4 linked regions of the Drosophila melanogaster genome follow. The protein of the gene in region 1 interacts with the protein of each later gene in a pairwise test. Each region holds a gene or a part of one and is shown on either strand. Other genes may lie near its edges. The genes, in order: CG11379, Aldh-III, CG32579 and CG10591.

Region 1 (7,743 bases):
AAATTTAGTAGGACCTATCCGGTCGCATAATAATTGTATTTACGAAACGATTGGATTGCTTTCATCGATCTGTAAGCTGGAATGTTAATCGCTTTGCCATTTGGATTTGCCGTGTAAAACCCAACGATCTTTGCGGTCAAAGTCTCGCGCTTTTACGCAGAGTAAAAATACTTGTGAAAGCTTAATTTCTGTGTAAATTGTGTCCGCCAAACTATGCAACGATAATTCCTGGTTTCCATCCCTTGAGCATCGTAAATGCTTTTGTTTTGCTCCGTTCTGTTTCCTCCCGCTCGCTATAATTTTTGTTTACCCTACTTTTATTGAAACTTTTTGCTCCTGCTTTAGCTGTTATTTTTACAAGTAATTTAAAAATTATTTTATGAGGGGGGTCCGCAGGGCTTTTCGCCGGGTGCGAAGTTTGCTTTATTGACATTGTCACCCCGGTTGAGCTCAGCTTGTCACATTGAAGCAACGAGCACCTGGACAAGGACAAGGATGAAGTCGAGGGAGATGACTACGGACTCTGGACTACAAATACCTCGGTAACGACAGGATAATAAAATTGTGAAACAACTTTTTAATGAGAAACACTTTTAGCACATTGCAGTGGCCAGTGGACGGATTCCCGGTAGTTGGTAAAATGTTGCTTCCGAGCCCCAATGACGGTTACCATAATGATGATGGAGTAGAAAACGCTGATAGCAGTCGACAGTTCAGTCTGTCGGTCCAGGACGCTGGGCTCACCTGTTGACGCAATATCAAACACCAAGTATCCACTTTTTGCGATCGATTCTCGCGCGGCGGAATAAAATCTTTTTCGTCGTCTGGTGAGTCGGTCTGGCTTTAACAATGAACATTTTGCGCCGCACTACTTCAAAACTGCAAACTTTGCGCCGTAATTGCCCAGAAAAGTAACACAAATGAAACGCATTGACGCTTAATTACTTTTGCTAAATGGCACGAGCCCGCCAGCCATCCTCCATCCTCCATCCCAACCCCTCCACGTCCTCGTCCTTTAAAAGTACTTTTCAAATGGAGTGGGCGAGGCAAACAGAAGGGAAAACGAGTGGGGATGGCCTGAAGGTGGAGCTCCATTTGCTCCATGCGGGTGTTTGGCTTCGGTTACGCTCATTTCTCAGCAATGCTTCGAATTTCCACAGAGTCTGTCTATAGTCCCCTCCTGGCAATTTACGGCATTCACTTGCTGACTGACAACGTCCAGAATGGTTGCTGCCACAACGCGTAACGAATCGTAATCAATGATTGCATTATGATTCATAAATGAAGCCCTAATTCACGCGCATGCAAGCAACAACTGTATTTACTCGTAAATCACTCGCATATGCATAGGTCATTAGAAATAATCTGGATCATATGTAGATACAATATTGTTGGAAGCGGGAAGCGGGCGGGTTGATATAAAAAAATATATATTAATTTATATTATTGCATCATGGTACTTCTAATACGGTATCTTTTAATTCCGCACCCCAAAACACATTCCCCTGATTGCAATCGTGCAGCGTCATGAACATGTGAGGCCTTCAGGGTGCTGCGAGTCGGCACGATTTGACTTTTGTCGACGTCACAATTTGGAGAAGTTTACCCACTTCTGGCGCCGCACAAACTTGGCCCAAAAAGTTGCCCTGCCACTTGGCAAATGCAAGTTTTTGATTAAAAGCCACCACCGCCTCCTGTTCCCACTTTTTTAGTTCCCAGTTCCAGCAGCCAGCAAAGTTGTGTGCCAGGTCTAGGGCCGGAGAAATTGTTAATTGAATGCATTTGGGGTCCTTGCAATGTTTGCCTGTGCGTGATATGGGGCTCTTTGCCAAGAGGGAGCAAATGAAGAAGCAGGCTGAGTTGGTGGCAGGCTGGAGGTGCCCAGGAGCAGCTGCTTCCCAGCTCGAAGTGCTCGCCTTCTCCCACTTAGCCAAAGTGCGGCGCAAATGCTTTGCCATCACTTGGCTAACAGACAAAACAGTATTGGTAGCGCGTTGTTTGCTAGGTGAGTCAAATGCATATATTATGCGAACAGTGTTGGTCCCACACCAGACCAGTGTTGAATAACTGATTTTCTTCGTATTTACAAATTTCTATTTACCCACATGTTCCACACCTCTCAGTGTTGCCGAATCATAGTGCTGATCCCAGAAAATTGTTGTGAAGGAAGCACAAAAGGGTCATTTAATCGCAATGTGGTGGCAACATGTGCCCCAATTCTGGAAACATTTTTGAGGCTACCTAGAGAACCTCGAGAGCATCCCCATTCCTCCCTAACGGATTTGTACAGGTGGTTGGGTGGTTGGTTGCATTAAAAATGCATTGGCCAACTCGTTTATTGTTGCTCCTTGGCAGAGCTTTGGTTTACTTTTATTTAGACGAGCTATTCGCTGGGAGAGCCTGATGATGCAAGCTGCAGCTGCAAGGATTCCACTCCATTTTGGGAGACACACACTTTTCATTAGCTCAAAGGAAGAAGCATGGATCGGAGCTCAGCTCAGGTGGAGAAGGTAAAGCCCTTAAAGTTAAGCGCATGGGAGCGGAACAAAAGTTGCCTTAAAGTCGTTGCCAGTCAATAATGACAGAGGATCCCAGAGGATAGGATGCCGTTTGGAAATGGTAAAGCGGATGCGGACGGGGATTCGAATCGGTGCTGAAGCTTCGGCCACGCCCACTCCGTGTCCGTGGGCGTGGCAGATGAATGAGAGGAGCACAGCCCCCCGAAACCCCGAAAAGAAAAGCAGAAGCAAAAGCAGCTGCAGATTTTCTATAAAAGCCGAGGCTAACGAGATTTGATGAATTGCAAGTCTTTGTGAATGAAGCTACAAGAAAGCTGCAGCATGAATAGCCCCGAGGCACCGCCAGGCCGCCTCCCACTCCTTGCGCTTTTCCATCTAACCCAGGTCCACATAAAAAAAACCCATTAAGTGGTTTAAAGCAGTGAAAAAGCGCACAGCACACAACAAGCAACACAGCAAAAGAAAAATGCAGTTGACATGAAAGCCAGCCAAAACGGGGCGATACAGGGATACAGGGATGGGGGTGGTAGGTCGGTAGGTAGATTGGTAGGTGGTGGAGTCAGACAGATGAACAGTACAGAACAGCACAGCACAGCACAGAGGAGCGGAGCAACAATGCTCACCCAGAGATGAGATAAGAACAGCCGCTGGAGGAGGACAAAGCAGCTTGACGAATTACTTGGCAGCTGCTCCTAGTGAAATCCCTGGGAGAATCAAGGAGCAGCGGGCGGGGCGGGGGCGAGCTGTGCGGGAAAGGACGAGGCGCAAGAAATTTAATTTGACCAACATTTTGATGTATCAAGTTCAGTTGAAGCCGAAGATTTATGACTTGCTGACAGAGCAAGCGGAGCAGCATCACCAGGATTGGGACGTCATGTCGGCAGAGAACAGTGCGGAGCAAGTGCATGCAAGAAATTTTATTCCATGCCAACCAGCCTAATCATTTTATAAATCATCTTGGTTTACCAGACGTACATATATATTATTGTACATATAAAGATCTGGAAGAGCTTATCTATGAGTTTCTCCATGATCATGCTCAAGCTTTAAAGTCCAAAAGTTGGAGCCGCAAAGCTTTGGCCGAAACAAAAATGAAAGTAAGCTGACTACTATCGAGCACATTTCCCATTTCCACTTGCCTCACGTAATGAGCCCACTGAAAATGAGGAAAACAAGGCCTTGACATCTGAGCCTGTTTGACTTGTGGTGATAATTGCAATTGGCGCGGTGTCTGTGACTTCAACTGTGACGCAGACAGTGACTGTGATTACACAAAGAGGAAACCTATGCCATTACCGATGGGGTATTCTGCCACGCAAGAATGCTGTATAAATCATAATATATAAATTATAAATTGAAAAGATAACATCGAATATATTAAATATTGCCTTTAAAAACTTTAACAGAGTTTACAACTTGCTTTTTGTATCACTTCTTAAAATAACAAGGAATACTTGTACACAAGTGTTCGGAGTTAACCAAGTAGTGACTGCTGCTTTAAAAGTCAGTTGAATAATTCAGTTTAAGGCTTTCTGACCCGAATTTACTCCCGTAAAACTGGAAGTGTACACCTAGGAGGACATCTGGAGATGGCTCGACTAATGGCCTTGATCATGGCGGTGTTGCTTCACTCGGTACTGGGCATCTCGTACTACTACTACTTTCGCGAATCTCCCGGCTCCGCTGCTCCTCTCTTGGGCGCCTGGCTCTTTTCCGCCTGCGTGGTGACCCTTCTTCACGGGGTGAGGATGTTTTCAAGTGCCCTGCCCGCCGATCAGCGGTTCAGGAATGGGAATCGAAACCTTCGCGGCAATGAGTCGTCCTGGGCATCGCTCTTACTGGAGACAGGCGTCTGCTGTTTGGTGCTGGATCTGACCCTTAGCAAACTGTGGCATCGCATAGAGTCCCTCTGCCAGTGCGCCATTGTGGGCATACTCCAGGCCTTGGCCGTCGAGGAGCAAACCTTCCTGGTCTGCGAGTACTGGACTTTGGGCCTGACTACCGGCCTGATCGGCGCATGTCTTCTGTGGCTTTCCCTATGGGCCACCGCGTTGCCCCAGAAGCTCCGCTGCGGGATGCTCGACTGGCGTCGCACCCTTCATCGCCGCTGCTCCGCGCTGATCTTCGGAAGTCTCGAGCCCGGCACTCCAATGCAGACCCAATCCCAGGGAAGCGCACAGAGCTTTGCCAATTGAGACGGAGGGGTGACCATTCCACTTCCACAGCCATATCACACTACCTCAGTCAATAGCTAAATTTATGGTTCAAATTATACTAAAAGCGTTTTAATAGGCACAGTGGGACACAACGGGCTGCATCATAAATTGAATTATGAATAACCATAATAGTAAATTTCGATTCAAAGCGTAGTTTCTTTTAGCTTCTTTAAGAAAAAAATAAACTCAAAAATCGAACATATATTAAATCGCAAGACCACTTTCTGACCGAATCCATGAAGCCAATTTGAAGCGGACAACTACCGGCCAAACTGCCAACCACTGGGGGCTGTCATCCCCCCGAAAAAGACTTGTAAACTCGTTAGCCGTAGCCGTACCCATATGCAATGCGGAAGAGGACCGATCCGAGATCCAAAAGCGACACGCCCCCAAACAACCGATTCGGTTTCGGTTTCGGATTCGGAAGACGGAACCCAGCGGCTCAAAGTAAAGCAAAGCAAGTCGATCGAAAGCGAAAACGAAACCATTACTCTGATGCGCGATCGATGGCTGTAAACTTGAACTTGAAGCGTAGCCAAAAGCGATGGACACCACGACGGCAAACAGCAACTGGCAACTAGCAAATAGCAACTGGCAACTAGCAACTTGCAACTTGCAACTAGCGACATGCAAGAGCCTGGCACACGCAACAATGCCGCTGAAATGCTTCCAAGGCAGTGCCAGCCAAATGCTGTTGCTTGCTGGCGCGCTGTCGTGTTTCGCACTGGTTAAAACTGCAGCCGCAGCCTGTTGCCAATTGCGGGAAATTGGTCGGGTCGTCGAGCGATATAAAAGCCTGGCTGGCAATGCAGCCGTGTTAATCAAAGCGCGTCGCTCGCCAGGAAAAGTGCAAGTGTTTTCCACGCTCCCAGGCAGCATTCAAACTCAAATCGCAGAGAAAATTCAGCGAGGTGAAATACGCATACTTTTTTTTTCTGTGCTTATAATAAAATCGAAAGGTGTTCCAAAATATCTGACCTTCGTGTTGCAGAATTAACTAAGCTGCTATAGCAGATATAGTTCAGTTACAAGTGCAGCTTACGATACAATTTTTCCATTTCGGATGCACTTCGCGTCCTGAAAATCAGCTTCGGGTATAAGCAGCAAAATGTTATTTTATAATATCCTTTGGGTTAACAAGTAAAATATATTATCGCAAATATTTTTCATGAACACGATCCCTTAACTTTTCTCTTATTCGCTACGTGTAGATGCTGTGCCACCGACACATTCACATCCATTGCCAGCTGTTCCTGCTGCAGCTCCTGGTGATGCCCCTACTTCAGGGTTCCCCCGTTTCGAGTCCGGAGATAGCTAGTAAGGGTTCCAAGTCCCCGAATGGCCTGCCACAGGTGCAACAGCAGCAGCAACAGCAACAGGAGGCCCACCTGAACTCGCTGAGTGCCTATGCCAGTGGCTATGACATGGCCCAGAACCAGGCTCAAGTCCAAAATCAGCTTCAGGGCCAGATTCCATCACAAACGGATCCGGCATTCAAGCCCTCGTACAAGATGCCCGAGATGGAGACCAACTTCACGCCCATGCAAACGGCGGGAACACCAAGTGTGTCCAGTTTACCGTCTACTCCCATGCTCATGCAGTATCTTCCGGCCCAGGCAATCCAGGATGGATCCGGAAACTCGGTTCAGTACCTTCAGCTGATACCCACCCGCCCGATCATAGTGCCCATTTCGCCGTACCTCTCGGCTGCCGCAGCAGCCAGCGGATCTCAACCTGCAATCTCCGCCGGCGCACAGCCAGACTTCGGAGGACGAACGGCCACTGTTTTGAGTGCTCTGCCGCCCAACTACGCAGCTCTGCAGGGTTACGCCAGTGGGTCCATCAATCCAGCCGCCGCCTTCCGCAATACCTATCGGATCAATCGCGAGGCCAAGGACAAACACTTCCCGCCCTCGTTCTCGCTTAATCTCAACGAGTACTTGCCAGCCGCCTCGTTGGGACTGACCGGAGGCCATGACGCCTCCGTCAATAGTCCACATGTGTATCTGCGGACCAGGTCATAGGATGTCAGCTACCGCCAAAGTCTCGCAACGTTCGAGCCTCTTTTTCTCTTCCGGAATAAAGCCTTATATGTATATATGTAAAGTGAGCCTGTGATTATTTTATGCAAGTCTATATCCCACTCAATTCAATCTAAGCCTTTCCACCTTGAAATGTTACACAATACGATACGAGTACAACCTACCCGACCATCTTGTGATTTTAGAAATTGGTTTTCCCATAATTCAAGAGCCGCGATTAATATAATGGAAAAAGCAGCAGTATAATGGACAGTATATAGCACATATGGCAAAACAGTTTGCTTCCCATTCAATTTACATAACTCCCTTTTATCTGAGTCACTGGTGTCGTTCTTCAGCGGCCTTCCACCTTTCGTTTCGTTTTCACACCAACCCAAACACCGCCGTGCTAAGAAGACCCAACAAACCAACCTAACGAAACCCAAATAAACACAAATGAAATCCAGACGTTATCGTATCTAGACTGTTTATTTGCACAGCGCCAAATAGGGGACAGTGAGCAAACAAACACACCTTTTAGGCTGGAACCCCCAGCCGAAGGTCGTCTTGGTCTTGTGCAGAATGCAGGCCATTGTTTTTGTTTCTCTTTCATTTGCGTGAAAGTGACCAAAACACACTATTTCGCGCCCGACCGGAACAGAGACGGTTAAGTATGGTTCAGTTGGAGAGTGTGTGCTGCGCCACAAAACCTTGGAGTTGCGTCAGTGCTGCCAGCCATTTGGTCTGTCTACTCCTAATTGTCACAATTTGACAAATTTATTTGGAATTTACTGGCTCAAATCGAAATAGGGCCATCATTGCCTCTATTCCGAGTCGCGGAGTAAGTAAAGGGGCGCTCAGCCCAAAGCATCTTTCACTTGCCGCATTAAGTGGAGCAAATGACTAAAGGCCTGACCCCGGTGAAACATCGACAAAGGCATACACTTCTGGTTTGCGAGATTTCTATGTAACGCTTGTACGATAACA
Region 2 (8,953 bases), on another chromosome or scaffold:
ACCTACGATTAATTCTAAAGCAAACAAAATGCTCATATACACGTAGCTACTAATGTAATAAAAAGAACACTAAACGAATCCAAAACTTAAATCAGGTATTCACATTTTTTTCGTATTACTTAGACTAAGATAAAGCGAGTCGGCGAGCCGCCAGCCTGACTAAATGACTAAAATCATCGTGAGATGATTTCAAAGATTTTTCAAAGATATAAGGAGGATGTAAGGAGGAGCGAGCGTTGCAAGACCCACATATGTAACTATTTACTAAGCCACGTTTTATAACAAACATAACAACAAATCGATCGACGATGCTAAAGCAAACGGAATGAACTCTTATCAAAATACAATTTTGAGTAATACTTTTAAAACGACAAATGCAAAAAACAAAAAAAAAAAAAAAAAAAAAAAAAAAGCAATTCTCGGCCAGAGCAGAGAAACGATTTCACTACCAACTAAAAAGATCTTTAAAATTACGTACTATGCATACATACACATATATATTTTGACGCGATCATTTAGCCATTAAGTTTCTAAGAGAACAACACCCACGATTATAACTAAATTTGAAAGCATTTCTCATTTGGAAATTATGAACATAAACATACGCATACGCAACGCATAAGCATACATACATACATACATAAATACACGTACATAACATATGTAATAATTATGGAGCAATTGAGTACAAAACGAGTACAAATTTAAATTATAAGCCAGATCGGAGGACACACACGGACACACACCGCTTAAGTTAAACCATACACGGAGCAGTTGAAATATTGATAGGCCAGCTACTGGTTTCGCATAGCAAGTACAGCATGTACTCATATATTCATATTCATATTCATATTCATATTCGAGCGGAGGACTGGACTCAGCGAAATAGCCAGCATACTAACCACACATATAAGCATAGTCGCAGTACATACATACATACATAGTTACTTAACATAGACTAGCCTAGACTAGCCCGCAAAACTATACATCTACATATATATCTAGGGCAAATGATTACCAAATTACAAATTACCAAAATCCCTCCTAGCCCGCTAATCTAAATCTCATCTAGTTTGATTTGCTCTCGATAGATAGGCGAGATCGCGTTTGGCACACCCAAAAAGCATCTCAAGCATTTTCACCCACTCAGCATTCTGCATTCTGCAATCTGCAATCTGCATTCAGCAGTATTCAGCATTCAGCATCAGCGTACATACATTCATATGTAGGGGCGTGCGGGTACTAGGTACACCCACCAGTAAGCAGCTATTAAGTCCGAGTAAGGCGATAAATCGAAGTCTAGGAAATCTACCAAATCAAGCGACGGATTCAATAACGAGTTGCAGTTTAAAATTGTAATTGTGTAGTAGTGGAAAGCGAGGAGGAGGTCAGAAACAAGCGCGGACCACGGGTGCGCCACCACCTGGTGGCTGCGTGGTCTGGCACTTTTCTATATACATGCATACACATACATATTTATATACCCGAATATATATATATATATATATACAAGCGTACATAGGTGTGGACTTGACGAGACAAGAGTAAGAGTATATTTTATACGATAAACAAATTTTATAACATATTTAATAATAAATTATACACTAATAATTGTGGACACTGCTCTGCGTTTTTTTCTATCTCACTTGAACACTTGAGTTCCACAGCGCAAGCCTAAAGATAGGCTACTGTATCTCACGGGTGCATAAGAGTTCAACTAGCTAATGGTTCCATATGAATGCTTACAATGGATTGGTTGAATTGAATTGAAATTGAATGGGAACAATCAATATATTTCTGGGTTTTGAAGCCAATCTAAGGTAAGTAACGTACTCCCGGTTGGAGCTCGAAAAACTGAGCGAAGATGTGGATTGCATACGATCGTTCAATGAATCTTAGAATGGATTGATTGAATACCTCGATATGTAATCATGATTGTGATTGAAATTGATTCGGAGCAATTACTTCAAGTCATTCTACATATCTGGTTATTAAAGCCAATCTTAAGTCAATTATGGGTTTCAAACGTAATTGAAACATTATGATACCTTCGAATTGGTTGATAGAATGATTAATTTCAATCTTAGTTACTTTCTGACACAAAGATAAGGCTTTAGCCCATAGATATTTACTTCTCAAATGCCAGCATCTTTAGCTGCCTCGTTTAATGGGTGATGCCGTCACGCGGACCCGGAACCTGGGTCAAGGCCACGCTTCCATCTCCATAGAGCCCACATACATGCGACGCAAATGGGTTGCGGGCATTGTCGAAAAAGTGCCGAGCGGCCATTAGAATGACAAAAGGAATCGCTAAGTACGCCGCTGGGCATAATGAGACTTGGCGAGGCAACTGAAAAGTTGGAATACTATTTGGAATCGCATCAATTGCGTGACTACAATTGCGGCAGCTTTGTGTGCAAAGAGCACCATTCGAAATCACTTTTACAATTGTTTGCTGGCCGTAAAGTTGGGCAAAGCGAGCCAAAGTCCACCGCCAGCTGGTAGCGACCAGCTAATTTCAGTGGCGAGAACAGGTAATTACGGCATTAGAATCCGGACTGATATGCCAATTGGCAGGTTTACTGGACTAAACGCGATCTGTTTAATGGATCTCAGCTCTCGATCTCAAGCAGACGACGTCTGGCACTGAGGTTTTTGTCCGGATCTCATGGTCAGGGTGCGAAGCTGTCCGCTGTGATTCGATGCAAGTGAATACTTATCAATAACCGGTTATTTATTAGCCGTCACTTCACTTGCTGGCTTCTGCCGCAAAACAGCTGCTCGAAATAACAAACACCTGAAAGGCAAATAGTTTATTGTTTACGGGACGATCTTTAGCCTGGCTCGCCCTATTCCTAATTGGCTAGGGCATCGGGTACAGGCTGCACTGCCTAAATAGAACTGATGTCAAATCTCAAATTAAAACTACCTTCATTACAGTCATAATTTCTGGTCAGTAGTTATATCTTGTGCCCTTAACTTTGCTTCTAAATAGCATTTAAAGAATGTAACACTTTTATAAGAGTTTTTTTTTTGCTGTAGCACAGATTTGTTACAACTTTACTTCATGATAAAAAAAAACGAGTCTAGTTGACGAACCCAATAAGTTGCCATGAGCAACTATCAAAAATGTGGATTTAATTTGAGGAAAAACAGATTTTCGCAGGCGCCCAGTTTGTAAATTGGCAGTTGGTGGTTCCAGTTTTTCCAATTAGTGCCACTCTTTTGCAATGTGACAAACGCCTTTTAAACGGCGTGTTCGTTGCACAGAAGCCGGACTGTATCGTCATTCGGATTAGTAGAGAGGTGGCTGGCATCCATCACCATTATCTGGTGACTTTGGGCCGGGAATGCGTGTGCATCTGCGACCTGTGATTAGCGCCGAAGACCCCCATTAAGAAATTCAAATCAAAAGTCGAGATTTGAGATTTAAGATTCGAGATTCGAGATAATCAAGAACGCGAAGAAAACTGAAACTGGAAAAGCGACGACGACTGCGGGTACGGGCCAACTTGGAGCGCTTAGCCGGGCTTAGACGTGTTTCGAGCGCGGCGGCGTCAGGTGAATCCGAGATTCAATCCTAATTCGAATTCGAATCCGAGTGCCCGGTGCGTGTTCAATACGCTTTTGAATACAGCGACTTGTTTGCTGGCTAATTTTTTTTTTTCGAGTGGCGGGCTACGCATACAAATTAGACCAGCACATAGTGTCCATGTGTAATTAAGCGACCCGATTCACTGTAAGCCGCTCCAGCCGAAGTGTGGTCGAGTGCATCGGTCCGGCTTTCCGCCTCCAGATACACGCGGCGGTGGTCAACGGCCAGTGGCCACTTGGCAGTGCTCCGCCACTCAAATCAGTTGGCTTTCGGGCGTTATCGCGCGCAGATTTGCTTGGATTTAAACCAAAGTACCGGATAGTGGTTATTTAATCTACACTCGCGCTTATTAGCCAACTGCGTTGACAATTAGCCGGCCCAGATGCTGGAATGAAAGTGAAACTGGAGACGGAAAACCGAAAACCAAATCCAGTCGAAGTCGGTTACATGATAAACGCCATGTGAATATGTTGTCATACAGAAACGTGATCCCCTGTGCTAATCAATTCAATTCGCATTGAATCATCGAGTGTGTTGGCCAACAGCCATATTTGCATGGTTGAACTTGAAACTGATTACTGATTATGGAGTGCTGGTGCATTTGGGTGTTTTTTCATTGATATATTGTTGTTTCAGCTTTTAAAGACTTCAAATCGTAAGCTTGAATTGTATACGATTTGTTTGATCATTTGCAATTATTTTATTATGTTTATCCCCAAGTCAAAATGTACAAATATTTATGAAAAGGGATCAAACACAGCTGCACTTTCAAATTAATAAAGAAATTGTCGAGTGTCACGACTATTAGATATCCATTACTGAGCGCGAAGAATTCTACTAATAAATACGCAGTATCCAACTTGCTTGCTATTGTAGTTTCCCAGAATTTCTTTTACATTTGATCCCTATAAACTTGGAAATTCTATTAAAAATTCGACTTATAGAAATCCATATTTTTACAAGTATTGTTGTAAACTATTATTCGTAAGGAAGTGCAAAGTTGTGCCATAAACAATGGCGGAAAAAATATTACAATCTAATATGAATACTAGAAATATTGATCATCTATTGTAATATTTCTTGTTTAGACAATATTTCAATCTTTAGTTCACCTTAACCAATTGGCGGGCCAAAAAGCTTGTGTAAGTCAATGTGGAATTTGTGAAGGATTTCGCCAGCTGGTTATTTAATTGATTTTCCCACGAGGACAACTTGACAAATTGACATTGATTTTCATTTGGTTTGCTTAGTTAAGTGTGCAATCTTCTTGTTCGGACATTTGCCACTTAATAGTTAGTAGTTAACCACATTTACCACATTCGTTTCCTGGGAATCCCTACAGCTTTTGTGCTATTTAAAAGTGTCCCCAATAGCGAATTTATAACCAAACAAAAAAACACTACGATAATGTTTGACAACGCGATTAAACCTCATCCGGAGGCCAATGGAGCTCCAATAAATGGTAAGCTAATGAAAGTCTTACTTATCAAAATGCCCGATTTTATAGAGTTTCCGTTAAAGCAGCAGGAGATCGGCCGATAACTACTGTCATTAATATTGGTGAGTCAAAAAGTTCGTATGCCACAAAAGCTTTGCATACAATGTGTATAAAAATAGAAGCAGTACTCAGAGGGTGAAATCTAGTTTTTCCTGTACAGCTTAAAACTTGATCAAAAACTAAGGGGTTTTTAAATTATATGCATTATTGTAAAGTCCAATAATCTTAATAATCTTAATAAGCGTGAAAGCTTTTATAGGACACGCATGTAACATCATTATTTAGCTAAAAATAACTTAAAATCCTCAAACACATTTAGTTTCACTCATGGTGACTCCGTCATATATTGTTTAATCGCACTCATTGTTATATGTCATTTGTTTAATCGGAGTCACCGTTACCAAGCACTATTATCGGAAAGTATAGAAGTGCGATATATAAACAAATGCGTTCGGTTTAAAGTGGGGAGTGTACTATGTCCAACTAATATTAACACCATTGATATTAGCAGATTAGGCTGGAATAACGTTCAGAATGCTCTGAACTTGTGTTAGCCGAGTCCAAAACATACTGATTCGTTATCGGAGCGACACGCTTGACTTTCCCCATCCGAAATCCAGTGTCCATATCAGTTGGTATATAGCTTATGTATGTACATTCTGAACGAAATACACATGCATTCAGTTCTGATAATGAATGCCAGCGGCCCTAGTCGAGTATATGTTCGGTTCGTGGAGTAACAATCCACTCAGTGTCGACCGGCATTTGCGTTGAAAAGGTGTGTTCTGTTCTCGGAGAGATTAAAATAGCGAATTCAGAGTGTTTTTTTTGGGTAAGCCAGCTGTTTTCTGTGCACCGACTGGATATGCTTATTTATGGTGCAATTAGGTTGCGCCATTTAGTGAACAACCAGTTGTTTTCGTTGGAAACGAGTATTACTCTTTTGCAGTTGTGCCAAAATAAATAAGTGTTTGAAAAACTGTTACGTGTTTGCATAGTTTAAGTTTACCGCTATGGAAAGTTACAGACTGAACGACATTAGCAAACACTGGATTAGCAGTGACATGAACCAAGATTAACTTAACACTTACTATTGTTTTACAAATAAAACGAAAACTTAAATGTTTACGCCAATAGACTGTAGTTACATCCCGATAATTTTTAAAGAACCACTTTAAACTTTATTATTGTCGAAATTTACGACTGTAGCTCGTCTTATATTAGGCGCCCTTTGGCACTTTTTAGCTACAAATTCGAAGCCCAGCGCGGTCACACTGGCAGCAAGTTTCGCATTCAGATCCGATCCAAATCTTGAAATATACAAGTTTTGTTGTCGCGGTGAACGGTTGTCAAAGCGCGTCAACTGCATGCGTTTATATCTTTTTTCTTCCTGCTGACGGTACCGAAAAGTACACATAATTTTAACAACAAACAGAAGACGCACAACCGAAACAACGGTAGATGCGTAACGAACGAAAGTGAAAGAGTGTCAGTGTTGTTTACATTTGCCGTGCCACCCGCTCCCGCTCACGACCCCTTTCCCTTTCTCCTGAAACGCAGAACCAGAACCAGAAACCGAAAGTCCAATTGGGATCTTCACATCACAACCGGAAAGTCAACAACAACAACCCGAGCAGCTCCAATCCGAATCCGAGTCCGACAGAATGGCCAATTTTGACGATGTGAGTGTCCAATTAGGCAATTTATTGCGAGCGAGAGAAAGAGATGTGTAACGATTATTAACTTTAACTGACACATATGTTGTTAAATGTATGAACGAAACACACACAGACGAACTCCGTGCACGTAACGAACATTAAGCGCCTTATTTTAGTTTGATTTTGATTTGATTTTTATTTGAATTTTTCGCCGCTTCGTCGTTATCCTCCCGTCTGTATGCGTGTTGCATGTTGCTATTGCTATTGCGTATGTGAAATCGCAACTGCCTCCTACGAACAACCATGACAACAACTACAACATCTACAACAACGTTGGTCGGACTGGAAACTCCAATTGGGATGGCTAACGAAAACAACAAAAACAACAACAACGACCAGACGTTGCAACGCGCCCGCCTTGCCTTTTCCAGTGGAAAGACCAGGAATGTCAGCTTTCGGTGAGTTTACTTTTATTTCGGCACTTTATTCGCTTGCTGTCAGTTAATTTTTTGCAAAGGCTCCTCGTCTTGGCCAACATATTGCGTTAAAACTGCCGCTTGAGTGGAGATTGTGTCATATATTTCGCTGATTACATTGGTTGGGAGGATCTGGAAAGTGGAAGTGGGTTAACTTCCAGCAAGCGGGACTGGAATTAAAATCGCCGTGGAAGTTATTTGAAATCTTCACATCTTCATTCTATTCCGCTTTTGTTTTGAATTTCATTGATTTGTGATTTAATTTTTTTTTTAATTTATTTAACTCGATGCGGAGTTTTGTATAATTTGACATTTATCTCTTCTTTGGCTTTAGATGACTTCTTTTAATCGCATAGTTTGATTTTAATATCCACTTGGAAGGTACATATATTTTTATCATTTGTAGTAATGGGCAATATTTTAACATTTTAATATATGTACATTATTTTCCATGCGGCTTGGAGGTAGGATTAAGATTTCAGGCATTAAGTCCCCACACCGAGCTTTTATGCGAAGTGATTTCCCAATCCGCTGGCCACCGTATCTCTGTTTGCTTTTATGACTGGGGGGCCATTACAAAGCCATTGCGGCAGGGCAGTCAGCGAACTAACTATGTACGTACATACATACGATCTCGGCTCGGGGGGCATAATAACTTTTCATGGCTATTGTTGCATTGGGGCCAACGAAAGGCGGAGATCTCAATCCGATCCCACCGACTTTCACACGCAATGCAAGCTTTGACCTTTGAGCCACACGCCCTCGAGCTTTTCACGCCGCCGTAGTACATGCGTGATAAGAACCAAAGATAGTGGAGCAGAGATGCTAAAGTCTAGTTGTATTCCGTTCCGATATGCATTAATGAGCCCGCGGCGGAACTTTGACTCCGTCAAGTGGTTGTACTTTGAATGCAATTAGACGGCGGCGGACGGAATTGTGGCATGTAACCGGAATAATTGCCATTTCCACGTCCCGACCGACCGAAGCAGCACTCATCCGCCAATGGGCATGATCGCGAACTCATACCTCATATACGTTTATGGATATGCTAATGGACAAAGAGGCCGAGGGAAATAGAGACGGAGCAGAGACCGACGAAAACAGGCGATATACCCATACCCGCCGATATCTCGGTATTTTGAGTGCGAAGTGTGAAACGGAAGTGCGGAGGAATCTCAGCCCAAGGCTGCTGGCCGCTGGCCGTTTGGTTCCATGATCTTTCAAATAGATCCGGACAAACGAACACGTTCTATCGCCGTCTGCGCCTCCGGCTACTTCTACTCCACTAATATAATCAGCTAGCTATTCAAATAGATTTGCCGAACAAGAACCACAGAAAATCTTACGACTTGAAAAGTTGGTTTGTATGGTATGATGTACATATGTACAACTGTTGGACTTTGATTGACCAAGTTCGATCGATGTATTGACTCAATTAAAGCAATAATTTCAAGCTTATAGATACTTATTGAAAGAGACGATCCATTAGAAACGGCAATTCAATACACACAATTTCCATAAGCCATTACTTTAAACGTTTAAGCATCGTAATAGTTTTAGAACGTGAATGTGAAGTACATACTTACTTACTTACTTGATATTAAAAGTCCAATGACTCTGCTCAATAAATTAGGCATTGCGCTTAATGAAAGCACTTTTACATTCAAAGATCCCTGGGGTCAATTGTATGCAACAAACATAAAAGTGCGCTAAATTAGCGTAGGCA
Region 3 (8,489 bases), about 15 Mb from region 1:
CCGGCTCATAGGTGGTCGGTATGAGGACGTAGTGACCCGCCTCCAGGTGCGTATGATAGCTAACGTGCCGCGTATTCCCATAGTCCGAGTTCAGATAGCTCACATGGTTCTTGAAGAAGTCCTTCTGCAGGCACTCGCTGAGCATATACTCGCCATCCCATGTGTACATCGTAAAGCCAATGACCTTCGGCTCCACGGCCGTGTGCTGATTGAGGGCAATTACCAGATCCTGCTCATCCTGCACGGATATCAGTAGCTGGGGGTTGATATGGAACGACTCGTGATTGCGACAACCACCGGCGGTGACGCCTCGCTTCCACTGGCCCTGGTGCATTTTCATCTTCCAGTGCAGCGGACGACTCTTTAGCATCTCCTCGTCGTTGGACGTCTCCGTGTCCAGGTACACCACCTCCATGGTGCTAAAAATCTCCACAAAGTCGCAGAACGACAGCCAAAACTCGCCGGGACCAAGTTGCCGGATGAGACGCGCTCGCTCCACCTGCGAGACACGCTCCCACGTCTTGGACATCGGTGACCAGTCGCCGAGGAAGTGCGTCTTCTCGCCGAACGGCTTGCTCGAGAACGTGTCCTTCAGGCACACCAGCTGCACCGAGTCACCCATCAGGGTCTTCACCTTGTCCAGGCTGGAGAGTCTGTAAGTTTCAATGGCAAATGGTCGTTGCAGTAGTAAAGACATTAGAAGGTAATAGATCGATGGATGTCCTACCTGTAGTTAACGTTCACCAGAATCCCATTGGGCATGCGCTCGGCGAGATTCTTCTTGGCCACGGTTGCGCTCTTGTCCGCCAAGCAGGTGACAATGCAGGTGGTGGTGAGTAGCTCCTTCAGCGTCTGTGGCCTGATGTTGTCCGACAGGATGGGCATTTGCCGGACCACGCCGCCCAGGAGATCAGTGAGTCCGTCGGAACGAGTGCCGTACTTGAGGGCCTCGTAGGAGCCGTGCAACTTGGCAATGGCCTTCTCCAGCAGGGCGGCCCAAAAGCAATTGGATGCCTGCGGCTGCATGAACGCCAGCCGTCCATTGATGGTGGGCAGACGGTCGTCGACCAGTACCTCCACCCACTCGCCGCACCACCACAAACGGAAACGAAAGACGCCGTGAGCACTGGCCAGTGTCTGATCGGCGGGCACCACGCGATAGAAGAGATTCCTCAGGGAACTCAACAGTCCCAGGCAGGAGACCAGCCAGCGATCGCCCATTTTGCCAGGCACCACATCGAACTCCGCCGATTCGTTGAGGAACACTGGTGCCGCCGAACTGTTGGCAGCCACCGCACCGGAGCCACTATCCGCCAAATCCATGATACGCTTCCATTGGAAGGTGAACGGCGGTGTCTGGTAGTAGAAGACCGAAGACTGGACCGCGGGGAAATCGGGGTCTTCCCACAGCACGTTCTTCGATCTGCAATCGCTCAGTATGCGCTCGTATTTGGATGCCATCTTCTGGGCTTCGATATCCTTTGCATCACTTCCGCTTTCGAGTTGCTATCCTGATGCCTGCTAGTCGTAGTCCCACTGCGATTTGCCTTGGTCTCCGCCCCTCGTAGCCGAAGTGAAAGTTAACCAGCTGCATGAAATATACAATGCCAACTAGCTTAGCCAACTCTAGCTTCGATCCCGAACCGGTTCCGTTCGGTTCATCTGCGGGAACCGTTTTAATTGCGCCCCAAACTCCATCGCAGCCACCGACTCCGCCAACTGGTTCCAGATGCGCCAGTTCAGATACGCGACTCCATCATCTTGGCGCGTTGCGCATGCGCATCTGGAATGATCGATTCAATTATGATGCATTTGCTGATCAATATTTGGGAACTAGTTGAACAGAAAGGCATTGCATTTGAAAAATATTTAGTAAGCGCTTCAAATTAAGTACACGGGATTAACACATAAATATGACATCTTTTTAATGACACTTAAATACAAACATAGATGTATGTACATATATATGTATGTGCGACTATATTGTGTCACATTCAATTCATATAGTTCACATTTATATTATATATATCTATATATATCCTTTAGTTGATGTTCCGCTACAAAGAAAAGTTCTAACTAAATTTAAAACCTAACTATCAGTTAATCGATGGTCAAATATCGATAGAAAATCTAGAAATGAAATCAAATTTGCATATACATATGTGTGTATGTATGTATGTATATATCCTCTAATAAAAACACAATGCATATTAGATATTAGATTAGATCTGAAACCAGCTTAAGCCAATTGAAAATCAAAGGCGCATCACAAGTGGGCATAACAACGTTTATTGCAAATATACAAAATGCTACTAATTATGCTAGAATTTTAAAAATAAGTACGCACAGTATTTGGATGGCAGTACGTGTAGTAGATTATTAACAGAACAATTCCGACAATATACAAGGCAATGATGGCTGTGGCAAGATACAAGGGAATGTACAAAGCGCAGGCGATGATATTTTGCAACAAACAGAATGTGAGATAGAAGGCGTACTTATATTTGGTTGGTGCATCCTTGACGGGCGTAAAAATAAATAGATAGACAACGCCAAAGCACAGGCAGTACGAATAGTTCATGGGGCGGGATTTTGCGATCATTGGCGAGTCCACAAAGAACACAATGGTGCCGTAAAAGCAAGCCAGTGTCGCGCAGATGATCAGCGTTTCGATGGGAAAAATACTGGCCACATACGCGATGCAAAGCGTTCTCGAAACTACGAAATAAAAGCGAATAACTAAAAGCTTAATATACACATTCTAAGCAACACAGCTAACTAACTACTACTAACCAGTGAGGCAGAGCAGGAAGAGAAATTGCAGAAATCGTCCCTTCGCCGCAATATCATGTTTGTCCAGTTGGGCCAGGCGATTGGAGTGATTGTACGCCTGGATGCACCACGCTATGTTGCCGAAGTAGACGATCAGGGCGATGTGGCGGTAGTCTGGGAAAAGAAATTTGAATGGGTAAATGGCATCCATCGACTTTCCATTCCGAGTTTCACTTTCGTTGGCTACAATCAATGAGTTAGGCTAAACGCCTAAACTGACTTTGATTTGCGAAAGTGAACGTCAGAATTTGGTGTTTATAAGCTTAAATTACTTATGCATTAGTTATCTTAATTAAGGCAGAGAGAGAGAGAGATTGAAATATGGCACTAATGTAGTATTAATATCGTATTACATGTGAACTCCAATGTCGATTGCAAAAGAATTGCCAGCTGTAGTATTTTCTGCGGTGCTGATTCCAAAAACGAGTCGAATAGACGAACGAAACTAACATTGCACTCCTCCGTCATGAGTTTTTGGTAATATCTGTAAGATAAGAATTCAGATATTCGTTATAAACATTCTAAAGTGCTCACTTATGATGAAAAGAGAAGATAAACTAAACGGCAGTACTACCATTTAGGGCATTAAGCTACTATTAACTAGTTTTATACACTGACACTAGCATTACTCACTCGATCTCCGCCTGCTTGTCATCCCGCTCCTTGGCCAACGAGTATTTGAACGCATAGTTTAGGACATAGACATCGCGGAAGAGATATGAGATCACAGCATTTGAGTACACCCCTCGCTCCAGGATGCGTTTTTCGCCGGCATGAGCGCTCTTCAAGCTGAAATTCAAATACAAATTTATCGTTTAGCTGTAGATTTCGGGGGAAGTACACGCTATCGCGATATGTCACATACGTATGTATATATATGACCGATGTGACCACCATGGGCACCAGAATGGAGCCAATGGTCCAGGCGCAGTATCCGTAGGACTCCTCCATCCAGTACACGTACGCCAGGCTCCAGTTGATGCAAATCGAGACGAAGCGCCACAGAATGGACACCACAGTGAGCAGCATGCTTAGTTTCGAGATCGGCCCCATCATAAGGGCGTCCACTTCGGTTCTTTGCTCCGCGGAGGCCATGTCTCCTCCGCCTCCTTATTGCACATGTGCCACCCTAGCCACACACAAATATCCAAGGCCTCGACCTCCAAACTACTCTCGCCTTCAACTTGCTGACACTGGTTTTCGACTAAAAAAAAAAACAAAACACTGAAGATTAGAATAAAGACTGAATTCTACGAGAACTTGTTCATTTGAACTAGAGATAGATCGATCGTACGCTTTTATCGGCGGAAAGCCGATAGTGAGCTGTTGCATCGAAAGCGTCATCGACGAAGTGCCATCTCTAGCCGACGGGTGGGATAGAATCTCCAATTGGGATTTCCATCCAGTGATTTCCTAATTAAATTAATTTTTTCCAATTGCCCAAAGGCATAGGCATATTTCGCAAAACGAACAAATATGTTTGCTTGAAGCGCATAGAATCACAAACAAAAGTGCAAATCTCAGAGCTTAAAAACCAGAGCAAAGGAGAATAACGGAAGAGGAGGCAAGCAAAAAGACAAAGAGGAGTGCAAAAAATACAGCAAACATCATGCACAGGACATATGTAAGCCATGCGATATACGCCATTTGGCTGGTTATATTCGCCACTGCCGGCATAATGGCCCAGCTAGACCTGGATCAGATCCAGACCCAGCTGCCCGACCAGCTGAGGAAGTCAAACTTTAGCGTGAACGACGCCAAGGAGCTATTTCGCAACAAATGCATCGAGGTGGCCGGCGAGGAGGCGGGCGTCGAGGCATACGGCGAGATCGAGTCCGGATTCATGGTGCTAACCGAGTGCCTCAATGGCATTGTCAACTACACGGCAATGCAGCAGGAGATACAGGAAGCGTCGCCCAAGGGCGAACTGGATGTGGTCTTCAACAAGTACTGCAGCCGGCGTTCGAATGCCGTCGAGTGTGTGGATGCGTTCACGGCCAAACTGGTGCCCTGTCTGGTGCAGGAGGAGCGCGAGGGCCAGGATGTCATTAAGCAGATCATCCAGAGTCTGCTCAACTTTGTGTGCCACAAGGATGGCGATCAGATAGCCCTGTTCATTGCCGAAAAGGGACCCGAATGCATTGAGTCCCAGAAGGACAACATTCAGCAGTGCGTGAACAGCACGTTCTCCGAGTACCTGAACGTGTCGGATCTGCAGGACAACCGCATCAGGAGCATGCCCAAGCTGACGGTCGGTCAGAAACAGTGCGACGAGATGCTGACTCTGCAGGCGTGTGTGGTCCGTAAACTGGAGCAATGCTCGGACATAACACCGGCGAATCTCGTCGAGTCCATGTTCAACTTCATTCGGAACCAAACGATGTGCCGTGACAATCAGAAATCGCCGCTCGTTGCGGCTGCCGCCAGCGGAGGGAGTCGGGTATTCCATCAAGTGTGGACCCATGTGGGCATCTTTTTGCTAATCCTGCGATTCGCTCTACAAAAGTCTTCTTAGTTCTAAGTCTGGGCGTCCGCTATATATCTCGAATCCGAATCTGTAAAACGCCTTCTCAACGCTTTGACTTTGGCATTCCAAAGCGATTAATCAAAGAGCACGATAATCACTGTTTTTAAGCTTTTGCTTCGCTTATATTAATATGCATGTAGCCGTGGAACAGGTGTCCATAGTTCAACCGCTTTCGGGGATAAGCATGCCAAGGTGCTGCTGCTCCAGGCTAGCCAGCCATATCGTTTTTGTTTGGTGCTTCTAATTTATGTAATTAATTGCCAATTGATGTATGTATGTATGTAGTATTGTAAACAATGCTTATACTTCCTTCTAGTTTTACTTCTGAATCAGAAATTCTTCTGGCCTTTGTCATGCGTTTATCTAATGCTTTATTTCCGTTTAATGAAATGGCGTGGCTTGCGGTTCTGATTCGAGTTGGGTTTGTATTAATCTCTTTCATTTAAATTCACTGAGGGAGGCAAATGGTAATCTCACTATTTCATAGTGGATCGGGTATGGGTTTGGGAAATGAAATGCTATATATGTAAAAACAATGAATGGATATGTTTTGTAAATGAATATACGTATCATTATTGTAATAATAAAGTGATAAATGTAAAAAGAAGGACGAGTTCATTTAAACTGGGAGTTAAAGGTCAATTAGGTGGTGAAAAGTACTCAGAGTAGTTGAGACCGTGCAGCTGCATTCATTACGTTTTCAGAAATGAATCACCAACTAGTTTTCACCTTGAACGCCATTTTCAAATTTCGCGGCAGAAAAACCACAACAAAAGGCGCGAGAAAAAGCGGAAAACAAATTTGAAAACATTGTTCCGATAATTGCTGATTATTTGTGAGCAATCATTTCAAGTAATCGAAAAATAATTTTGAAACAGGCTGTCTTGTTAGGTCAATTATTTTTTATCGTGCCATTTAAACAAAAATTATTTATATTTATTTATTTATTTTCCATCGTTTCTCCAAATTACATTTAAAAGTTTGTAAGACTTAATACTGTAAAACACTATTATTAGTTATTAACTATAGTTTAAAATGGCAAAATAGAAAATGCGACACGCACAATTGAACTATCGAAACGTTAATATTTAAAACAAGTAATTTAAAATAATGAATACATGTATAAAAATAATTAATACATTTGTTTTTAAAAAGCTATAGAAATAGCTGCATATATGCTTTAACAATTTATGCTTAAAAAGTCTTTATAATAATCCTGTGATTTCGCCGTGATTTTTGGGTTTACAATGTGCTGTTTTAGAATAATGGTTATTTCAAAGTGACCACTATTTTTCAATTATCTTAATTTTTTAATAGTCTTGTGTTTATTTCAACTTTAAGTTTTATATTTTAATGGCTCTTTAAAAGCAAAAAAATATTTGATTTTTAGGAGTGATCGCTGATCACGATGCTGTAATTTTTTGTAAGATATTTACTTAACGAAGGCGAATGCGTTGTTTCGATTGGCGGTTTCAAATGAGCGCAAGTAAATGTATTTATTTATTATAAAAATTGTAAAAAGGGCGCATGAACGCGACCATTTATCCGTTTTGATGGGGGAATGGGCAGCACAAAGTGCGTTTATGGGCGCCCTAAAGTGATGTAACAATTGCTGCGACCGCAGCAGCAGCGAAACGCGCGGAATGGAACGCACGGAACGATATCGTAGTATCGTACATGCGGTCGCAAGCCATACACGATGGTCTCTTTTTGTGCAACTCTGATTCGACAGTTTCGGCACAGGTCGGCAGCGGCATTTCAGATTGCGGAGTCCGCCATTTTAGCTAACAAATCTATAACCCTAGCTTCGTCAGCGTGCAGTGTGAATAGGGGTCAGTTGCAGTTTGGAATTCAGATTGTTCGCGAATATTCGAAAGCGTCAAAGATGAGTACTTTGCCTAGGGTGTTTTTTGATATGACCGCCGACAACGAGCCCCTCGGTCGGATCGTCATGGAGGTGAGTTATTTGCCCTTTTTTTTTAATTTTAAACTTAAGTTGAGGTTTTTTTTTTTGTGACATTTGACCAGAAAGTGAAAAACACGTGATTTCCCATAAAGCCATTTCTTACGCCTAAAGCTAAGACTGTGTTTTACATTATTTGCCTCAGGTGATAAGTACATACCGTTTTTTTCTTTTTATTTTTACGGATTTAAAACTTGTACCAAATATACACACAGCGCAAACTCGCCCTCTAATTTATAAGCGACAAGTGCAATTACTTTCCATGACTAATTGCATGACAATGCGCTATGGGTAAATTTTCAATTTTCCAACCCAATTGGACAGGCGCGTTTAATCGGAAAATCTCTATAATTATCTCTACATCGCTGAATTTTGAGCAAACAGGCAAGCAGGAGCACCAACCCCCGCAAATCGGCCATTTGGTGGTATTATCTTTATAGAATGGAATTTTCCTTATTTTAATTGACGTGTCGGCAAACTTTGGCCGAAATGGTGTGCAATTTTTACCGGTATTTTATATGCATCTGTGCATGTGTGCTATATATGTACATTCCGGCGTGGTCTGCGTATGTGTGGCTCATACCCATACACACATGCAGATCAATACACGAACATAACCTCTAAGCGGTCACTCGCGTATGTCTGTATGTTCTTGTCGTGCTTGCATATGTACATGTGTGCATGCGGGTAATGTACGCGCAGATGTACAGTGTACACACAGAGATATTCGGGTGTGAATGCGCGAGTTCTGTAAACCCGTTTGCAAACATGAACTCACTATTAATTCCGCCGATGATGTAATGTACACCTAATTTTTGAATAGAGAAAAAGAATAGGAAACGCGAATGCTTGATGTATATTTTTAGTGGCCTGGGAATAAAGTCATTGCCCGCCAAGTAAACCAAGCCACATGTCTAGGATTTTCCTTCCAATAGGACATACATATGTACATACGCACACTTGAACATACATGCAGTGCGCGAAAAATTCTGCACTTCACGCCGAATTACTACACTAAACAATTGAAGATTTATAGAGAAGCGGCATTAGGAAAAGCATTTACTTGACTAATTTATACAATTGTCTCGATTACTGGGTGAATTGGAAAATTGCTCAAATTCTAGTGCATTTGCAAAGTTCTGTGCATTATATGTATTTTTTCCCTTG
Region 4 (7,898 bases), on another chromosome or scaffold:
CTGGATTCGCCTCGGTCTGCTGACCGTCGTTTGGGGTGCAGCGGTTCCTGGAAGAGCCCCCGTGGACGAGGAGCGAATGCATCCACATCTGCCCACTAGTCCCAGGCTGCGTACGATTTCCGGCGAGGAAACCCAGGAGTTCTGGCACTCGGCCAGCAAAAAACTCATCCGCGAAAAGTTGGAGTTCGTGAGGAACACCAAGAAGGCCAAGAACATTATACTGTTTTTGGGCGATGGCATGGGACTGGCTACTCTGGCTGCTGCCAGGAGTTACATTGGAGGCGAGGAGTTGAAGCTCTCCTTCGAAGAATTCCCCTTTACCGGACTATCGAAAACCTATTCGGTGGACAAAATAGTCCCCGATAGCGCCTGTACCTCAACCTCATATCTCTGCGGAGTGAAGGCGAACTACGGAACCATCGGCGTAAATGCGCATGTGAAGCGAGGCGACTGTGCGGCGATGGCCAATGAAACGAACCATGTCTTCTCCCTGGGTAAATGGGCCATGGATGCGGGCAAAGCTGCTGGACTAGTGACCACCACCCGAGTGACCCACGCCTCGCCATCCGGAGTCTACGCCCATGTCGCCGATCGTGAATGGGAGAATAACGCTGTTCTCGAGGAGGCCTGCGGTGAGTTGTCAGATGGACTCCAGGACATAGCTGTCCAGTTGATTCACGGCGAGGTGGGCAGCAAACTCAAGGTCATGCTGGGTGGAGGCAAGCGAAGCTTCTATAGTCCGGAACACTACGACAAGGGCCGGCGCACTGATGGTCGTAATCTCGTCGAGGAATTCGAAGCCTTGGACGCGGGCAACACCTTTGTGAAAACGCAGAAGAAGCTGCTCAATGTGAACGCCACTGAAACCGGTAGATTGTTGGGCCTGTTCAGCAAGAGCCACATGCACTATCATCTGGAGCAACTGGCCGATCCGGACAACAATGAGCCCACCTTGGAGGAGATGACACAGAAGGCCATTGAAGTGCTGGAAACCGAAGAGCAGGGATACTTCCTTTTCGTTGAAGGAGGTAAAATCGACATCAGCCACCACGAAACAATGGCACGAATTGCTTTGGATGAGACCGCTGAACTCTCGAAGGCGGTGAAGAAGGCTAGGGAGATGACCAACCCGGAGGAGACCCTCATTGTGGTGACCTCGGATCACTCGCACACCTTCAGCGTTTCGGGATATCAACCACGAGGAAGCGACATCTTTGGAGCTGCCAAGGCGAATGGCAAGGATGGCAAACCGTATCTGGCCTTGAGCTATGCCAACGGCAAGAGTTTCCAGGACTACTACAATACGGAGACCCACGAGCGCGTGGATCCCACCAGTCTGCCCACAATCGGAGACTTCGATCAGCTCTTCCCCGCGATGGTGCCCCTTGAATCGGAGACCCATGGCGGCGAGGATGTGGGTGTCTTCGCCTCGGGACCCTGGGCACATCTCTTCACTGGCGTCTACGAACAGAACACCATTCCTCACATGATGGCATTCGCTGCCTGTGTGGGCGATGGACTAACCGCTTGCGATTAGGAATCCCAATCCGGCGATGATTGACGGACAGAAGGACTCTTAATTAGCGCATCCACTAGACGATTCTCACGTACGCTTTATCGTTTTAAATGAATACTCAACATTTGACAGGTGCTGGAACACGCGGCTCTCGAGAAAAGAAATTCGATCGGGGATTACTAAAATCAATACTTCAATAAACGTTTTCCTATCAATGTTAAAAAACCAAATGTACTTATAGTGTCTGATTATAAGCAGACAATAGCTGGCCGATTAAATATGATTATATTAATAAGAACAATTTATATTTGCGACTTTTTCTAACTGACAGTGGTGTGATTGAAAAATGAGAAAGGAATTTGTTTTTTTTTTTTTGTATTTTTATCTAACAACTTACCATTTTTTCGAATGGGTACTTTTCCATTCGTAGATTCTAAGATCTTGATAGTAGGACTTGTGGAGCCAAATGAATACGCATTGGACTTTGCTATGCATGGGGCATTCCTTCCAAGAAAAACCACATTTAACAAAATATGTACTTCTGATTAAATATAAACGTTAATGGGTGATAAGTGGCTTATTTTTTTTTTTTTTTGACTTTGTACAGACAAATGACGCAAAAGGATGGACTTTAATAAAACGACTAAGAACATGCAATTTTTACGTCTCAAAAGAAAATCGAAATTCGTTACAAAGTTCCATTCTGTAAAACATATTATGTGGGGTACTAGTATACAAAACACTTTTTATGCAGAGCTGATCTTAAATAATTAAAAAGATAAAAAAGGATTGTTTAAATATAAGAGTTAATCTGATTGACAAAGTTCAAATTCTTAGAAATTAAATTATCGCTTTTCTGTACTGAAAAGTGTATCCAATGACGTTAAACGAATTAACTCTAAAATTGTTTACCCACCGCTTCGAAGGAATTTTATTTTTACAATACCAATGACAAGTTAAATTTAATTTAAGTCTATCAAAAATTGATTAACTGTGTTATGACTGCAACTAAATTAAAATCATTTGTAGCAAATTAAACTTGATTCCAATCAAATCGATTGGATTGATACCTTTAATTCCTATTATCGTTATTGATTTTCAAAATGTTTTGATAGACTTAAAAAGCGTTAAGTACTCACGCCTATTATGCTTATAAAAAAATTTAATAGGCATCGCAATGTTATGACGATTGAATTTTTCTTGTGAATCTCACGTATTTAACGCAGATTGACTGTTGACAATTGTAATTCATAATTCTTTGGGGGATTACCCTCGAATAGGTATTTCTATTTTTATCCGTATTTATCTTATAAATACCAAGAAATGATATCGTACTTTGTTGACGAAGCTTGAACGAATAACACAAGTGCCAGCTCTACATAACAAGTCAGACAACTAAAAGATCTATAGATGAAAGACATAAAAGAGACATCTTAATACCTCTACTTCCATATCAAATGGTCATTTATATTCTTTTTAGACATTATCAGTACAGTTTTTATTAAATTATTAAACTAAATTTAATCTTAAGTTTTCCCTTCAAATGATGACTGCATATTGGTTTGAGTTACGCGGTTGGATGAGCGTGGCATACTTCTCCTTCAGTTCGACCAAAGCCCTCTGGAAGTTCTCCACGCTGCTCTCGAGCTGGTTGGGACTGAGCTGCTGGACGGACTGGCCCTTGAGTAGACCATCGGTGGGTCGCTCTCCCAGGAGGAGAATCCTTCTCCAATCGCTGGCATCGGAGCTACCTCGCAGGAAGTCCTTGCGATTGCCAACCGCAAACACAGTTTCCTCCATATTCTCGGGCAAAATTGTGGGCTGCTGGGCTCCCAGATCGCCGGGCGTGGGTTGAGTTGGTGGCACTTGGACTGCTGGTGGTGTGATCCCCGAGAGAGATGACGATGTGGGTTGCGGTGGAGGAATGGGAGCACCGGAACCTTGGTTCACCGGTGTATCGAACAGTTCACTGGGCAGATTCTGCGGTCGATCGATCTGCACCACCTGGCCATCGGGTGAAATGTGGAAGAACTGAGCGCGACCAGCTAATCCCGTTCCTGGTCCTCCTGGAATCACTATAATGTTGCCCACAGCGGTGGTCAATGCAGAGGCTCCACCAAATCCGCCACCACCTGGGGTGGAAATGAAAGGAGGGACTGGAACTCCCGGTGGCGGAAAGGATCTCAAAGGTGGAGGAGCTGGGCATGGGAAACAATATCCAGGAGGACCAGGCGGTCCTGGTAAGCCTCTAGGCCCCTGGATGAAAGGCAGATTTGGGGGGTAAGGACCTGTGGGTGGATAGCCCCAGTAGCCAGAACCACTGCCAGAGAGACCGTTCTGATTGCCAGGAGGTCCAGGCGGACCTGGAGGTCCTCGTTCCCCCTGTGGACCAGGATCACAAGAGCATTTCACCAACGAAGCCTGGGCGGTGGAGCAAAGACCTGATGGAATATATGGTATTGTAATATTGTAGAAAAATTTATAAATGTTTTATAAACTTACCAGCAACCAGAAAAGCCAAGAGTCCCAAAAAACTCATGATGTACTTCGGATTTCTCTTCAGATCGGACTGAGATCCAAAATTCGAATTCGGCTTTTATAAGCTGAAAAACTCGAGAGCTACGTTTTAATATGCATAGAAAATATACAAAATAATCTCTAGATCGAACAGAAAACACATTTCCCGCATCTCTATAACTGTTCTTAACCCACCATCGAAAGGGAAATGCTAAGCGATCAAAAGGAAAAATGCCATCACCCAGTCGGCGCAGTGACAATTATGATAATTTATGCAACAAAATATACACGAACATCATTAGGCCCGACGACAAGCCTTTAAACTGGGTCAGCAGGGTTCTCGGTTTGATTCTTGGCCAGCCAGCCGCAATCAGCGGGACAACTTCAAAAATACATCAACTGTCTATCAGGTCATAAACAGTGATCAGATTGTAGAGTTTATGTGACCAAATGTGGGCGATACCCATCAAAGTGACACCCAGATTTTTGAATTGCCTTTTCATCAAAACGGAAACTCTTCAGGGATTATCCCAAGCGCCTTTACAGTTTCCACTGCCCAGAATTAGCATAAATTACGAAATCAATATGTTTCCAATCAGTTACCACACTACCACGGCTAGAAATGAAAAGGCTCTGTAACATTTCCGACTTATCACAGAATTCCATTGACGAGACAAAGCCCACCGAAAACACGCGTCATTAGTGGACGAGTGCCCACTCCGTAGGTGTTCACTTCCAAACTAGCGCCGTTCCCTGGAACTATGATGACACTGGGCCTCTTGAAAGTCCCGATAAGCAGAGAAGTAAATCCGGATGAAGGGTGGCTTGTGGCAGCAGTTGAAACCATTCGATACACTTCAAAATAGTTGTTTACTAGAAACTGCTAATCTCAAAGGTATGTCCATAGGTTATCTTACCAAACTTCCGAAACTTTGAATTAAAACGTACTTAGTGCTGAAGGAAAATTATTCAGTACTTATACTGATAATATTTTTGAAAGTTGCTTGTATTTGAAACAACTTAAGTCATTTATTCATATAGTTGATTCTGGAAAGCTCACCAAACATTTTAGGGTATAAGACACACTGTGTGTAAACACTGCAGTGATTGGTCGTATACGTAATATAAACATAGTTCAGTTACTTGAGACAAATCGAACATCATCAGTTAACGACAAGAATCCGAAAGGCTTTATCAATGGTGTTGTCATGGAATAACCCCAAAGTACTCCATCCATCCTGTGCTCCCAAACGAAAAGAAAACGAATGGAAGTGCCAGAATTGGCCCCCTAATAAATGGGATGATAAGACCGTTGAAGTTGTTTGCCTCCCAGTAATTGGAAAACAATTTGAGGGTCAATGTTACCGAGTGAATCAAAAATAGTAAAAGTGAAACGATCTGTGTGTTCGCTGATAATGGCCAAGATGAAGGGGGCTTATACTGTCATAAACTTTTTTTTTGGTTTTATATATTGAATTTATTATTAGATTATCGACTATTGCTAATCAGCACATTTCTTGCATCGTACATAACTTAATTGGCGCAAACAAGTTCAAGTCACATTTTGTTGCAGTTGCATAGATTGATAAGTTTTCTAGGCAAACAATTCAAATAAAATACTCGATGTACACCGTATGCAACGTAACATACGCACATATATGACATAAAAGTTATCTTCGGAAATATATCAAATATTTTGTGTAAGCAAGCTTCTTAGTAATTTAAGTAAGTAGAGAAATGTTATTTTATGGAACAGTAGAAATTACAAAACCAAAAATTAGTGTATAGGATTAATTGACTCTTAAAACTAGCAAAACGTAAATGCAACAGAAAGAGCTTTTAATTCACAATGTTTTCCCAAATTTTCTCATTTGAAACGTCTAGTCTTATAATTCCGAAGTAAACCTTTTAGGTGATATATGTAGTTTGCGTATACATCGTTAAACTGAATCTTTTATCTTTGGTGCGAATATATTGGACTGGCATTCATTTTCACACCAACATGAGAAGTGGGTAACCCAAAGAGACGAAAAGAGGAGAGCCAACTGGAGCTAAAGTTGTGAAACAGAACTAAAACTCTACTCAATAAATACAATTGTTAATCGATTAGGATGATATACAGATCTGGGGGTGGGTTTGCAGTCGCAGGGCTCTTAGTCTATTTTCACATTGGAATAGATTTTGCGCACGAAGAGATTCGTGCCCACATAGCCGACGGTGCCGCAGATAATGCCCAAGGCGCCGCTGAAGAGTGCCATGTAGCCAAAGTAGAAGGCCGTTTGGAACAGACCGAACATTCTGTAAAGTAATGAAATATAAATATATGGATAATATGCTAGAAAAAGGCATCTTACTTGGTTTTAAAGAAGAAGTAATAGAAGGAATAGGCGTACACGTAAATCGACGTGGAGCCCGCAGCCATGAAACTCGTCCACTGCCATCGGTAATCTTCGGCATTTAGCAGGAAGTAGGTGCACACGATGGTGACGCACACGGTGACCACAGTCAGGATGCTGAAAACCAGCAACATGAAGCCGTAGACGTAGTAGATCTTGTACGCCCAGAAGGAGGTGAAGATGAAGTACATCTCAATGAAGATGGATCCAAAGGGCAAGACACCGCCAAGAAGCACAATAATCAGTGGCTCCATGTACCACTTCTTTTCGGGAATGGGTCGTGGCACCGCGTTGACGCGGCATGGAAAGTCTGGTTGGCCGTCCAGATTGCGGCCCACGACAGTACCCACCAGAGTCAAGGGCAGGATGACAAACAGGCAGATGCAAGTGACCGCCACCATGGTACCGAAGGGAATGGCTCTCGACGCGTGATATCCAATGGCAATGAAGTTGATCAGGAAAGCCGTGCCGCACACAGCCACTGGAACTGTAAAAGCGGACACCAGCATCTGTCGGATCCACATGCGTCCACCCAGGCGGGCATAGAGCGATCCTCCAAAGTATCCATTGATTGGTGAGGTGGCGGCATACACAAATATAGCCGTGGACAGCATGGAGCCGCGTTCCGTGTACAATTCACCAACTATGGCGAACATGATCACACAGAATACAACCGAAATCAGTTGGTATCCAGCGCCCACCAACGCCGAGAAGAGCAGTGTGTTGGGCGGAGAACGGAAGACATCGCCATGCACCTGCTTCCAGCCGTATTCATCACCAAGATCTCGCTCCATGTCGTCGATTTCCTCGTCCTTACTGTACCGAGCATAATCCTTGCGCAGAGTTCGCATCAGAATCATGGACACCAGACCCACCAGGAAGATGACCATCATGAAGCTGTTGAAGATGCTGAACCAGTGGATCTAGAAAAGATTAAAGAAAAGATGATGTCATCAAACTTTGACCTTTTCCTCTTGCTATTTATATAGAATATGATTCATTTGAAAGTTGTGGAGTAAAACTAGTTGAACTATACGCACCCTGTGCTGGAAGAAGTTGGGATCCAGGTACTTGTCGAATCGATTCTTGAACTCCACCTTGCTGGGCTTCCAGTTGACCTCGTAGGAGAAGTTGATGTGGGATCCCGGCTTGAGTTCCTCGCGGCCCTCGGTGGTCAGGGTGATATCCACGATTTGCTGGCCATTGTAGCCGATGTCGAACTTCTTGTGCGTGAAGATATAGTACTTGCCATCGCGCTCGTCGCGCTCACCGACTTTTCCCCAAATGGGCAGTCCATCGATGTACATCTGGTACCAGTACTCGTTCTTCACGGCATAGGTGAATGCCTTGGCGCTCTCCTCCTGCAAGGTGACCATGCAGATGACCGATTTGGGGGCGTCGCTCTTGAACTCCATCTCGTAGCCACTGAACTCTAGCTCGACTCCTTGCAGCGCCTCGCTCAGCGTCTC

Evidence for each region.
Region 2: the proteins of CG11379 (region 1) and Aldh-III interact in a two-hybrid assay, tested with the Drosophila melanogaster proteins (one large-scale study listed by BioGRID).
Region 3: the proteins of CG11379 (region 1) and CG32579 interact in a two-hybrid assay, tested with the Drosophila melanogaster proteins (one large-scale study listed by BioGRID).
Region 4: the proteins of CG11379 (region 1) and CG10591 interact in a two-hybrid assay, tested with the Drosophila melanogaster proteins (one large-scale study listed by BioGRID).

The regions. Positions count from the first base shown.
Region 1 is NC_004354.4:1,176,156-1,183,898, forward strand, and holds CG11379 (uncharacterized protein), read left to right. Parts: upstream 1-4,009; 5' UTR 4,010-4,108; coding exon 4,109-4,714; 3' UTR 4,715-5,396; downstream 5,397-7,743. Other genes in the region: CG14627 (uncharacterized protein), read left to right, coding at 5,947-6,759.
Region 2 is NT_033778.4:7,471,544-7,480,496, reverse strand, and holds the start of Aldh-III (aldehyde dehydrogenase type III), read left to right. Parts: upstream 1-3,334; 5' UTR 3,335-4,250; intron 4,251-4,937; 5' UTR 4,938-5,002; coding exon 5,003-5,057; intron 5,058-5,116; coding exon 5,117-5,155; intron 5,156-5,837; exon of another isoform or gene 5,838-5,925; intron 5,926-6,366; exon of another isoform or gene 6,367-6,653; coding exon 6,654-6,775; intron 6,776-7,150; coding exon 7,151-7,209; intron 7,210-8,953.
Region 3 is NC_004354.4:16,318,906-16,327,394, reverse strand, and holds CG32579 (uncharacterized protein), read right to left. Parts: upstream 4,110-8,489; 5' UTR 3,928-4,109; coding exon 3,698-3,927; intron 3,622-3,697; coding exon 3,466-3,621; intron 3,317-3,465; coding exon 3,186-3,316; intron 2,947-3,185; coding exon 2,794-2,946; intron 2,740-2,793; coding exon 2,330-2,739; 3' UTR 2,275-2,329; downstream 1-2,274. Other genes in the region: CalpC (calpain C), read right to left, coding at 1-653, 728-1,461; CG9917 (uncharacterized protein), read left to right, coding at 4,442-5,347; Cyp1 (cyclophilin 1), read left to right, coding at 7,059-7,316.
Region 4 is NT_037436.4:5,595,603-5,603,500, forward strand, and holds CG10591 (uncharacterized protein), read right to left. Parts: upstream 4,091-7,898; 5' UTR 4,056-4,090; coding exon 4,019-4,055; intron 3,958-4,018; coding exon 3,056-3,957; 3' UTR 2,955-3,055; downstream 1-2,954. Other genes in the region: Alp9 (alkaline phosphatase 9), read left to right, coding at 1-1,537; TM9SF3 (transmembrane 9 superfamily protein member 3), read right to left, coding at 6,187-6,331, 6,388-7,352, 7,470-7,898.